Rattus norvegicus: one gene and its partner. The protein of the gene in region 1 interacts with the protein of each later gene in a biochemical or structural test. Links are inferred from orthologs where the notes say so. Each region holds a gene or a part of one and is shown on either strand. Other genes may lie near its edges.

Region 1 (5,105 bases):
CAGACAGGGACTAGGCACCCAGACCAGACAGAGCCCTCAGACACCCAAACACAGTACATGAGGCCAACAACCAGAGCACATTTCCAGGGGCTGCAGCTGTGCGGCATACAGCAGTCTGAGGCAGGGGGGAGGGCAGAAGGAGGCTTGTGGTAGCGAGGACACTGACTAGAGGTGGGTGGGGCAGCTTCCCAGGCCCGAGGTTGATGGGCAGTTGATGGGCGGGGCTCACTTGAGGCGGTAAAGCACCTTGCGCTGCATGCGGTGCTGGATCTCCCCCCTGCGCAGCATGAGCTGCAGCACCTTCCGGATGGCATGCTCTGGATACTTCTGTAGGAGGGAGCACAAGTCAGACGCACGTGTGTATCGCACGTGTGTATCGCTATGACCCAAGGGAGCTGATGCAGCCCGGGATCATAGACAACTTCACAGCAGACAAAAACATTCACCTCCATTCTCGACTCATGCACAATCTCACTTTACAGAGGAAGAGAGCAGGCACAGACTGTCACTCGTTCTGTCACTTGTTTGGGTCATACAGCAATTAAATGAGCTAGGACTTAAGTCCCTGTGGCCCTTAAAAAAAACACACTTTCTCCAGCCCCAGCCTGTTAATACTAGTCTCTTATAGAGGGCCAATACTCATTACTACATAATTTACTTCCACAAGGAAACTGAGAGGAACACGGGAAAGGAAACACAAAACAGAAACCAGAGTTATCCTCATGATTTTAAAGGGCACAGGCGCCTCCTGACACACCAAACAGTCTCTCCTCTGCATGGGATCAGCAGCCCCCTCCCCAGTGGGCTACAAGGCTCACTCATCTGGTTTTGGGCATCCCTACCCTATAACGATCCAAATAAGGGAAAATCTTAAGAGATGGGAAACAGGCATTGGTTCCTGCAAACCTAGCTTCCTCCTTTCCCTATAGCCAACCTCAACTGTAGACTGTAGCAGTTCCTACAAAAGGAATGGTGGCTCAAACATCCCATCCCAGCACCCCTCTGCTGAGCACAGAACACTGCATGTGGTGGCTGAGTGGGAAGCAGACGAAGAGAACCAGCAGGACCCCTCTATACCCCGGGCCAGGGCTGTGGACCCAGGGTTAGGGAGGCTCACCTGTTTGGTGAAATCCTGGACAATGCTGTGTTCAGACACCTGGGAGCCGATAGCAAAACGGCGCTTGAGTTGCTTCTCAATGCGACTCAGCATCTCCTGGTCCTCCTGGGTCGTGAAGCCTTCCACCCCTGTGAGAGTGCAATAGGGAAACTGGGTGCTAGAAAGCCCAGTTCATCCATGTTGGAAGGGCCAGAAAGATGACAGCCTCTAACTAGAGTGGCCTGAACCCAGCCCCAGAGAAAATTAAAGACAGAACACAGTGTGAGAGTGGAGGCCTCACCAGAAAAGTGAAAATCAAGTAATATGGGGAAGAGAGCTCTAGGCAGAGGGAAAGGTAACAGAGGCCATGCAACAGGCACAGAGATGGGGTAACCATGGTAACTAAGAGTCAAGTGCCATGAGACCCTATGGGCTACACATACCAAGACAACAGAAACAGCAACAGAAAAAAACCTGAAGGAAGCAGTTTTTATTTGGCTGAGTTTGAGGAACGGTGTCATTGTACAGCCCTGGTTGACCTCACACCTCAAACTCAAGAGATTCTTCTGCCTCTGCTACAACCATGCCCACTGGAAACAAAGTTCTGAGTTCAAGAGAGCTAGGAGGGAGGGCAAACAGGGCCCTCTAGAATACAAATCTGAGAGATGCCATCCACCAGAAGCCCTGGGTAAGCGGGAGCTGTACAACCTTACCAAATAAGAAAGAGAACCACTCCTTCTCCAACACACTGCCCAGCTGTCACAGCCCTCTCCATTCCTTCCATTCACTACCTATACCTCTTCACCTATCCCACCAGAAGGTCAGGAGGCCTACAGAACGGGTAGGACAGGAACCTTGGGAACCACGTGCTTATAGCTCTGACATCTAGACCGCGACTGGCAAGTGCTGAGCCAGAGTTCCTGTCAGATGAGGGTGGAGGTGTCTAAAGAGGCTGCCATGTCACCGCCCTCAGGACTGGCTGAAAGCAGGCAGCAGACAGTAAGGCTCAGGGGCCCACAGGCCTGTATTCCACCAGGACTGGTGACCACGACACCACAGAAGTTCTGTCAGTCTCAACTCCATGACAGGAAGGACTGACAGCCTGGGGTCCCAGACTGTCACCAAAAAAAAAAAAAAAAAAAAAAAAAAAAGAGGCCAAAATTGGGAAACTACAATAGTTCTAAGCTCAACAGGAGGGCGGGCTGACAGCCCCTCTACCAGTGACAGGCCTACATTACTTATAATGGACTGATTTGAGGTCTACAGAGAAGCTCCTTCCTCCTCCAACAGTTAAAACATCCAGGAGAGAAGCAGGGGAAAGGCTATCATCAAAAGCACATCCAGGCAGCAGCCTGCAGGCCACCAGCTAACTAGATCTCTCTCCATCCCAGAGTCCAGCCCCACGTCCAGCACCTACTCACCCGACAGATTGCCAGACAAAGCGGCGTCCAGCGTGGACACCTGGAAGAGCCTCAGCGCCTCCTCGACGTCGGCCTCCGTAGCAAAGGGCTGCAGTTTCATCTTGCTGAGGGCCTCGGCGATGCGCACGATCGCCTCCAGCTGCCTGTGGGAACACAGCACACGGAGGGCTCAGCCCACACTCCCTCCTCTGACCCTCCAGGAAGAGCCATGGCCATGGTAGTCAGGACTGCAGAGGAGTTTGCTGCCTCTCCCAATAATATATCACCCTTTACTCCTTCTACCGAGCCCAATTTTTATTCCAGCACACACTGCCTGCTGTGGGGCAGTGAAAGACACCCTGGTTCCCAGTTAAGGAAGTTTGAACCCCGGAGACCCTAAAAGAGATGTAGGTGCTTTGCCTGACTTCCAGGAAACCAGGCCGGTCACTAGCCCACAGCCCTCCATAGATTTGTGACCATCAGCCACGTAAGGGCAACGCCCCACAGGTAGAGGACGTGAAGGTCACGTAGGCTCAAGATAGATCTGTTATAATGAGGTGCCTAAAGGCCTGGAGGCTTAGTCAATGAACTTTCCTTCCCAGACACTCCTCCCTGCAAAAGGTATTTAATCTCAGGCCCACTCTGAGAAGTGGGGATGGTTTTACTCACCCACTTTCTACCATGACAATAAATGCCTTGAAACCATGGACTGCCTCTTTTCATGGAATCCAACAGGGAGCCATAGAAGTCCTTTGCCTACTCCCAGTGATGGCTACCACCAAGCTCAAACCCACCACCGACAACCAGCCAAAAACTCTCCCCAGCAGGAGCTTCCCCCCCTCTTTTCCCCCTCGGCCCCAGACTAGACCCAGCCCCACTCCGTTCTCATTCTTCCCCTTTCAGCTCTTCCGCAGCATCCCAGGGGTGCCTAGATGCCTAAGAGCCTGAGAACTGCCAGCCTGGACCCCCCCAGCCAGCTCCAGCTGTGTCCTGCACTCAGACTGCACTTCCCCAACCCCAGAGAGGTGTCCCCAGGCTTCCAACAGCCCAACACCTGCCCAGCTGCCGTGTGAGCGAAGTCCCCACATCCTGCCTTCACAAGAGACCTGGGCCCTGCGGTGGAGTAGACACGGGACACCATTAATTCTACTGCCTGCTAAAGGATATTTCCTGACTTTTTGGTCTAGGTGTCAGTGTGACCAAGATGTAGCCCATACATTCTAAATCCACGCATCATCTGAAAATGTCAGAAGTGTCCGTAAAAAAGCATGTCTTCCTCCCACGGTCTCTCCTGGGGCTCAAACTGTGGAAATGACAGCTGACACTTCTAAAACCATCCAGGGCTGAAAGGTTGGCAAAGGTGAATGTAATGGAGCCCAGGCTGACAGCTCTGAAAAACCACCATGAATTACTACCTACTTCCTAAAGTTTAATCATGAAAATAAACTTCCCACTTAAACTACTCTCTTTGGGTTTCATCATACACAACCAGATCTACTTGTAACCAATCAATGCTAGAGGTATAATTCAGCCCAGGATGGCCCCAGCTCTTACTAGCTATATTGTCTATAAATAAATGACAACCCTAGTGGAGGAGGCATAAAGAATTGAGACCCAGTAAAGGTCTCTAGTTTCCCTGTAGTTACACAGCTGATCAGAGGCTAGGACAGAGTCCTCCCCTTTCCTCAGGCTGCCTCTCAAAGAAGGAAGCCAGGCAAAATACAGAAGTGAGGCCTACCCAGGCATCCCTAGCCTCAAATACATACAACACACACACACACACACACACACACACACACACACACACACACACACACACACACACACAGAGAGATAATTAGGAAGCCACAGTACATGGTCCCAGAAGCCCAGATGACCACACCACACCCATGTTATGAGAATAGCAGTGACCAAATAGCCCTGCCCTCTGACGTGAGCCCACTTGCATAGCTCACCGCACTGTGATGGGGATGCTGGAACGACGGTCAATATCCCTCTCATGCTGACGAGCCCCACTCCGCATGATGATGTAGCGGTTCTTCAGCTTCTCTGCTGCCTCTGCTGATAGCCGAGGTCCACACCTCCTGCAGACGGCAGAGTGAACTAGAGTAAGGCCAGAAAGGAATCCGAGGTTGCCCTCACCCTGTTCCCAGACCTCTATTGTCTCACAAGATGAATGTTCCCAAACAAAGCTTTTTGCTCATAATATAAGTGGCGAGTCATTTGAAAGAGATTTAAGAAAAACTTGACCTGCCTATCAGCAGGTGTCAGAGATCTACATGGCACATCTCTGAGAAAGTGGAGTAAGAGTCTGAACATTTGTGCAGAAAACTACTCTTGATGCTGGCTGCAGTGTGCTGTCTGGCCACGAGGTGTACAATGTTCTACCAGTCACTGAGGGCCCCAGAGACCAGGAGGCCCACCAGGGAGCAGGCTTCCCAGCAGTCTCCAGCTCTACCTCCCTGATTTAAGAGGATAAGAAAACTGAGGCCCAGAGATAGGATCTCCTAGAAGGCTTCCCAAAGCTCAAACCCACGACAGACACAGGAGCTGTTAACGCCCACTCACTGAGGCAAAAGTGAGACATGCATTAGGGACCCACTCAACTG
Region 2 (6,196 bases), on another chromosome or scaffold:
GTTAAATGGAGCAAAACCAGAAGAGGACAGCAAGTATCCATGCACATACCTGGCGTGTCCAATTGCCCTTGCTCCAGAAGAGTCTCATCAATGACCAGGGAAGTGTTGTTGGGCAGCTGAAGGAGGCCGCTGACCAGTCGGTTGGCTGTATAGTCTTTGTGGGGAATGAGTTTCAACTGGTTCATGTTTTCTATTGTCATCTGTAGACGGAAAGACTGAGACAGAAGCTGTAATAAGCAAGTTTCTCTATTAAAAAACCCACACCCACAGGCGTGTGTTTAGAGAGAGAACGCCTTTGTTTCACATGGAATGATATCATTTCTAAAACGGAGACAGATGGTCTCTGCAACTCTTAGGAACTATCTGTGGCCACACTCCGAGCCACACCTCTTCTAGCTGCTTATGTCCCACATTTCAGCTGACACAGTGCACGCTGGAGAGGTAAGGGCAGCCAGGGATACAAAATGGTAGACAGCTGTGATAGCCAAACATCAGACAGCCAGAAGTTAAACTTCATTAAGGGACAGGAGCTAGTAAAATGTGAAGACTGTGAGTGACGTCTAGTTGCTGAGGCAAGAACACAGGCTCTGTACATTAAAACAGACCATGGCTCGACTCATTACCAACACTTCAGCCCAACGTAGGGACCCTCCACACCCTGCCTCCAGCCCCCACCACACTCAGCTCCTTCTGTCTGCTCTAGACACATGGAACTCAAGCATGTTCCAGCCTTCAGGAAAGCATGCAGCAAGAGAAGAGGGAAGAGAGAGAACTAGAATTTAGAGAATTTTGTACTTTGGCTCAATTATTCTGAGAAAGGAGGGCAGTGGTTCTTTACAGATACGAATGAAATCCCAGAAGCAGAGCTTGTCAAAAAAGGTGGCTGGCAGCCCATTGGTTGAGAACACTTGTTCTTGTGTAGGGACATGGGTTCTATTCCCAGCACTTATATGGTGGCTCACAACAATCCATAAATCCAGTTCCAGGGGACCCAATGTCACAGGCACTAGACATGTACGTTGCACAGACATACATGCAAGCCAGACACTCATATACAAATTTTAAAAAGTGACCATGTGTTGGGGCTGAGGTTGGCTTTGCCACAGAACCACAAGCAGGACACATGTAATAAGCAGTAGAAGCTGAATGTTCCATTCCAGAGAGAAAAGCACTGAGAAGGGCTGGGGCCAGTGTGCTAAGAGTGACGAAAGGGCAGACAGTCAATGAAATGCAAAATAAGGAAAAGAGACCCTCTAAGCCCTTTCCTCCACCCTCCCTCCCCCAGGTAAAGATGTAATCCTGGCTGCACAGCTGAGACATAGATGGTCTCTGGCGCCATCTTGTGTCTGAGAGTGGTACTGCACCAGCCTCTGCTGGCATCCCTTACACAGGCCCATGCTGCTCCTTAGATTGCCTGTTTTCTATGTAGGAGGACATGACCCCCCAGGCAGTCACCAGTTCTGCTCCAGACTGAGTCTCAGACCCTATTGGAGAGATGGGCATATGTCTTATGCCAGTGTCTGCTATCCCATTTCCAGGGCTTCACTGTTCTGCTGAGAATATTTAAAGCACACACCAGCAATTTGATTTTATACCTCAAAACCAGGAAGTTCTGAGGACAGAGAAGCAATCTCAGGAGACATGGCCTAGGGAACCGCTAAGATCCTATTTCCGGGTCTATGAATGAGTCACGTTTACAGACAGAACAGGCTTTACCACAGAGATGTGCAAACTCCACTGACAGACAGGCTTTCAGATCATGCACCTCAGCTAAGAAACAGACCAGATAAAAACAGCACCGCAGGGGCAAATGTGGAAGCAGAACAGAAAACCTAGGGGTCTCCTGTAGGTTGATGTCTACATGCAGGTGAGGGACAGCACCAGTTAGGTCAAGGCCACGATTGGACAGTAAAATATAAGGTGGGGACAAAGCTTTTGTAAGGCAGGACAGAAGGAGAAGGAGGGAGAATCAAGATGGAGACAGAGGATGACCCAGATCCCGGTGGTCCTGAATTGCTAAGGGAGTTGGGATGGGTTTCTGTAGGCAAATTTATCTTATCTAGTTGGGCAGTTTATATCCTTATCAATTGGTTGTGAGTTTATTGTATTATGGACTGAGATATAAATCTGATGTTGGGTTGCAGTTTGTTGAGTCTTGATTTTAAGGGGTGGTTGGGAGTTTATATCATAACTATTAGGGGGCAGATGTTGGGAACGTAAACAGAGCAGTGGCCGAGCGTTACCAGAGGATAGCTGCTGCTGGGACCAGGGGGTGGATGCTGGGAATGTGAGCAGAGTCCACAGGAAGAGAGCTGCGAGACAGGCGGTCTCTGCATGAAACTGGCATGGCAGAGACTCGCCTTGGGAACTAGATGGTAGAGAGACTGCTGCCAGGCTCAGAGTAGCCTCGGCAGTGTGAGATGGGATGGAGCTTAGCGGGCGAGACCCCTTGCTGACTGAGATGAGAATATCCTGCAGGTGCCATGTGGTCCTACGGTCCGGCTAGCGTGGGATAAAATAATTCCCCCTCTTTTTTTTTTTTTTTAACCAAAATAGTCTATTAATTTAGACACTCAAGAGCACGGCAAAATGCAAGACACTGTCAGTTTTACCACTATTTCCTAATGAATTACTCAACATGTCTTCAGTCTTAATTACTAATGTCAGACATTAGTGAAAGCACAGCCCACTGAATAAGAGGCTCAAAATCCTCAGGACTCTGCTGCTTCTGCAGGGCTTGAAGTGCAGACTCGACAGGCTGTTCAGAAGGACCTGGCTTCACTTCTTAAGTCCCAAAGTGGCCAAAATTTTTAGTTATCAGAGTAAATCCGGTCCTTGAGATCCTGACACAAATGTGCATTCCAGATGCTTCCAGATAGCAACAAGCCCTGGGGCGTGGAGATGGGCCACTTTATTACCTCAGCTGAGAGAACCAGGCTCCTATGATTTAAAGCTTCTTTACACTTCATAATATGCACACAAAGGAACAAACTCACACAGACTGGAAACGTAATTCTAAGGGAGTCACTGCCACTGCGTTAATTTTTAGATTACAGATTTGTGCTGGGTCAATCAGTGAATGCTGGGTGCATTTTAAATTATGTCAATTGGCAGGTCTTGTCCTTTGTAAATGAGACCCACTAGGAACATAAAGTTAATACTCAAGGTGAGTGGAAAACAATTGGGTTTGTCCCACTCATAAGCCTTCATAATATTATCTTACTGCTGGAACAAGATGTTGGATGATCCGATATAGGTGTTCCGTGAAGGTGCTGTTCTGTGGGCAACCACTCAGGTTAACTGTAAATTTTCCCAGTGGAAGTACATCTCTTCTTGTATACCTAGGAGAAGGGAAAGAACACAAAACCAAGGGTAAGATACTGAGACGCCATCATTATAAAGTTTGCAGAAGCAGAGAGATGGCTTAGTAGTTAGAGCACTGGCTGCTCTTCCAGAGGACCAGGGTTCAAGTCCCAGGCCCACGGAATAGCTCACAACCGCCTGTAACTCCAGTTCTAGGAAGATGCCGTCTTCTGACTTCTACAGGCACTGCATGCACAGATATGCAGACAAAATAGCCATACATATAAGGTAAAAATAGACATTTTTTATCTATCAGAACGGCAGTTAAATAATAGCCACTTTGAGGAATGGGGAGAGCATCCCTTATCCAAAATGCTGAGACCTGAAGTGCTTTACAACATTTGCAGATTTACTGGCTAGGCCTGGCTGACATGAGCTGGTGGTCACTGCCTCACCATCTCACTTCAACAGTGTGCCTATGACGCAGGCACGGCAGACTTCCTGAGTTCCGTGCTTTTCCATGAGGGATGTCTAGTCAAGCCAAGACAGAGCTCTGATGTGACCCTGAGCATTACCCGCCATCTTAGCTGCCACCAGGGGACAGGAGATAAGATGCTTTCTATCACAGCATTTATTAAAAAAAGTACAAAATCCTAATGTTTTGGGAAATGGTTACAGTATGGCACAAATCTATAATGAGAGAACATCAGGTCATTAGAAAGCTTAGGAAGAAGGCTGACTATGGTGGCATGCCCTTAATCCTAGCACCCAGGAGACAGAAGCTGAAGGATCTTGATGTAGTTCCAGGCCAGCCTGGTCTACATAGAACATTCTAGGCCAGGACTACATAACAAAACCTATCTCAAAGAGAGAAAAAAAAAAAAAGTATTGTGATAGGCTAACTAAATATTAAATCTAAAAAGCAGGTAAGGATGTGTGTGCTTCAACCACAACTGATGGGCCCACATTACAACATAAACCAAAGAATATGCTCGAGTATTAGATGGGAAAACTGTTGCCCACGTGAAAGATAATTTTCTTCTTGCTTTTCTTTTTGGGGGGGAAAAAAAACCAAAAAACCTGCCAGGTAGTGGTGCTTTAATCTCAGCACTCAGGAGGCAGAGGCAGGTGGACGGATCTCTGAGTTCAAGGGAAGCCTGGTCTACAGAGTGAGTTCCAAGACAGCTCCAAGACACCCTGTCTCAACAACAACAACAACAACAAAAAAAAACAAAACAAAAAACAAAAAAACAAAAAACAAAACAAAAACAAAAACAAATCCCAAACCAACCCAAAAACCCAATATGGTGGAGTGAAAGGCCAGGCCCTAGCTGGGTGTGTGGTGTGCACTTCTAATTCCAGCACTTGAGGCAGAGGCTGGAAGAGACCTGTGAGTTCGACGTTAGTCTAGTCTACAGAGCTAAAGACGAGCAAGGCTAAACAAACAAACAAACAAACAAGCCAAAAACAAAACAAACAAAAAACATGTCTCAAAACAAAAACAAACAAACAAAAACAAAATAAAAAATTGAACCAAAACAGGGTGGAAGCATTAAAGTCAATACACAAACTAAATGTACACAAAGACAGACTTCATTGTTTTATAAGCAGAGCCTGGAGAAGTATACACACATAAACAAGCAAACAGGGTATAGGGAGGAGACCAGGAGATACAACATTTGAAGTATATACAAAATAAAAAATAAAACGAGTGCAGAGAAACCAACAGTTCGTCTTACTCATCAGTCACATCCCATCTGGAGACGGAAACAAATGCGTTATGTGAAACGAAGTAAAGTGGGGAAAGGAGTCTGTGTTTGGTGCAGCATTTGTAAAAACCCACTTGAAGACAAAGCTGATTTACTAAAAGACACAAACAAACATCACGGCTGTTCCCTTCTTTCTCCCACACCCCAGTTCCCAGGAAGAGCACAGACTTACACGGTGGAGATGAGATGCAATATAAGGTATTCAGCAGCCAAACTGTCTCCCAAGAGTGCATGAGTGAGGAATCCAAGCAGCTCTGCTCTGACTGGAGACAACTCGGACATGAAATTGGACACAACTGCAGAAGGAAGGAATGGCCAATGAGAGTGTGCACGTACAAGAGCAGGAGGGAGTACTACAATTCTTGAGACAATGATGCCATTAGGGTAAGGCAAGATGGCTCAGAGGGTAAAGGCATTTGCCACCAAGTCTGATGACCTAAGCTTGATCCCCAGGACCCATACAGCAGCAGGAGAGGTGGATTTTCTAAGTTTTTCTTTTACCTCCACATCTGTGCCCTGACACACGCATATTCTACTCTTCCTCAGTGGGAGGACCCTCCAGAATATGCCAGAGATCTAGGAGGTAAGAGACTCTCAGGATTTAAAGGAAGGGACCTGAGATGAAATAAATGCCCTACAGTGGGGAGAGAGAACTTGTACAGTCACCTCCAGCAGAAAGACAGGACATCAAGTGGGATGGGGTTGGCATCCCAGTCAAAAACTCTTGACTCATAATTGTTCCTGTCTGAAAAATCTACAGGGACAAAAATGGGGAAAAGCCTGAGGAAAAGGAGGTCCAGCAACAGGCCCAAAGTAGAATCTAGATCAAGGAGAGGCACCAAGGCCTGACGCTATTACTGAGACTATGGGATGCTCACAAAAAAGGACCTATCATGACTGTCCTCTGAAAGACCCAACAAGCAGCTGAAAGAGTCAGATGCAGATATTTACACCCAACAATGGACAGAAGCTGCTGACCCCTGTGGTAGAATTAGGAAAAAGCTGGAGGAAGCTGAGGAGGAGGGTAACCCTGTAGGAGCACCTGCAGTTTCAATTAAGTTGGACCCCTGAGATCTCTCAGACACTGGACCACCAACCAGGCAGCACAGACCAGCTGAGATGAG

The links.
Region 2: the proteins of Mcm5 (region 1) and Mcmbp form a complex in vitro, tested with the Homo sapiens proteins (2 studies listed by BioGRID). The link is inferred for Rattus norvegicus from reciprocal best matches to the Homo sapiens genes MCM5 and MCMBP.

Annotation. Positions count from the first base shown.
Region 1 is NC_086037.1:13,504,425-13,509,529, reverse strand, and holds part of Mcm5 (DNA replication licensing factor MCM5), read right to left. Parts: intron 4,581-5,105; coding exon 4,452-4,580; intron 2,661-4,451; coding exon 2,518-2,660; intron 1,246-2,517; coding exon 1,118-1,245; intron 328-1,117; coding exon 226-327; 3' UTR 1-225. UniProt on the Homo sapiens protein: Acts as a component of the MCM2-7 complex (MCM complex) which is the replicative helicase essential for 'once per cell cycle' DNA replication initiation and elongation in eukaryotic cells.
Region 2 is NC_086019.1:192,708,237-192,714,432, forward strand, and holds part of Mcmbp (mini-chromosome maintenance complex-binding protein), read right to left. Parts: intron 5,369-6,196; coding exon 5,245-5,368; intron 3,342-5,244; coding exon 3,224-3,341; intron 216-3,223; coding exon 50-215; intron 1-49. UniProt on the Homo sapiens protein: Associated component of the MCM complex that acts as a regulator of DNA replication.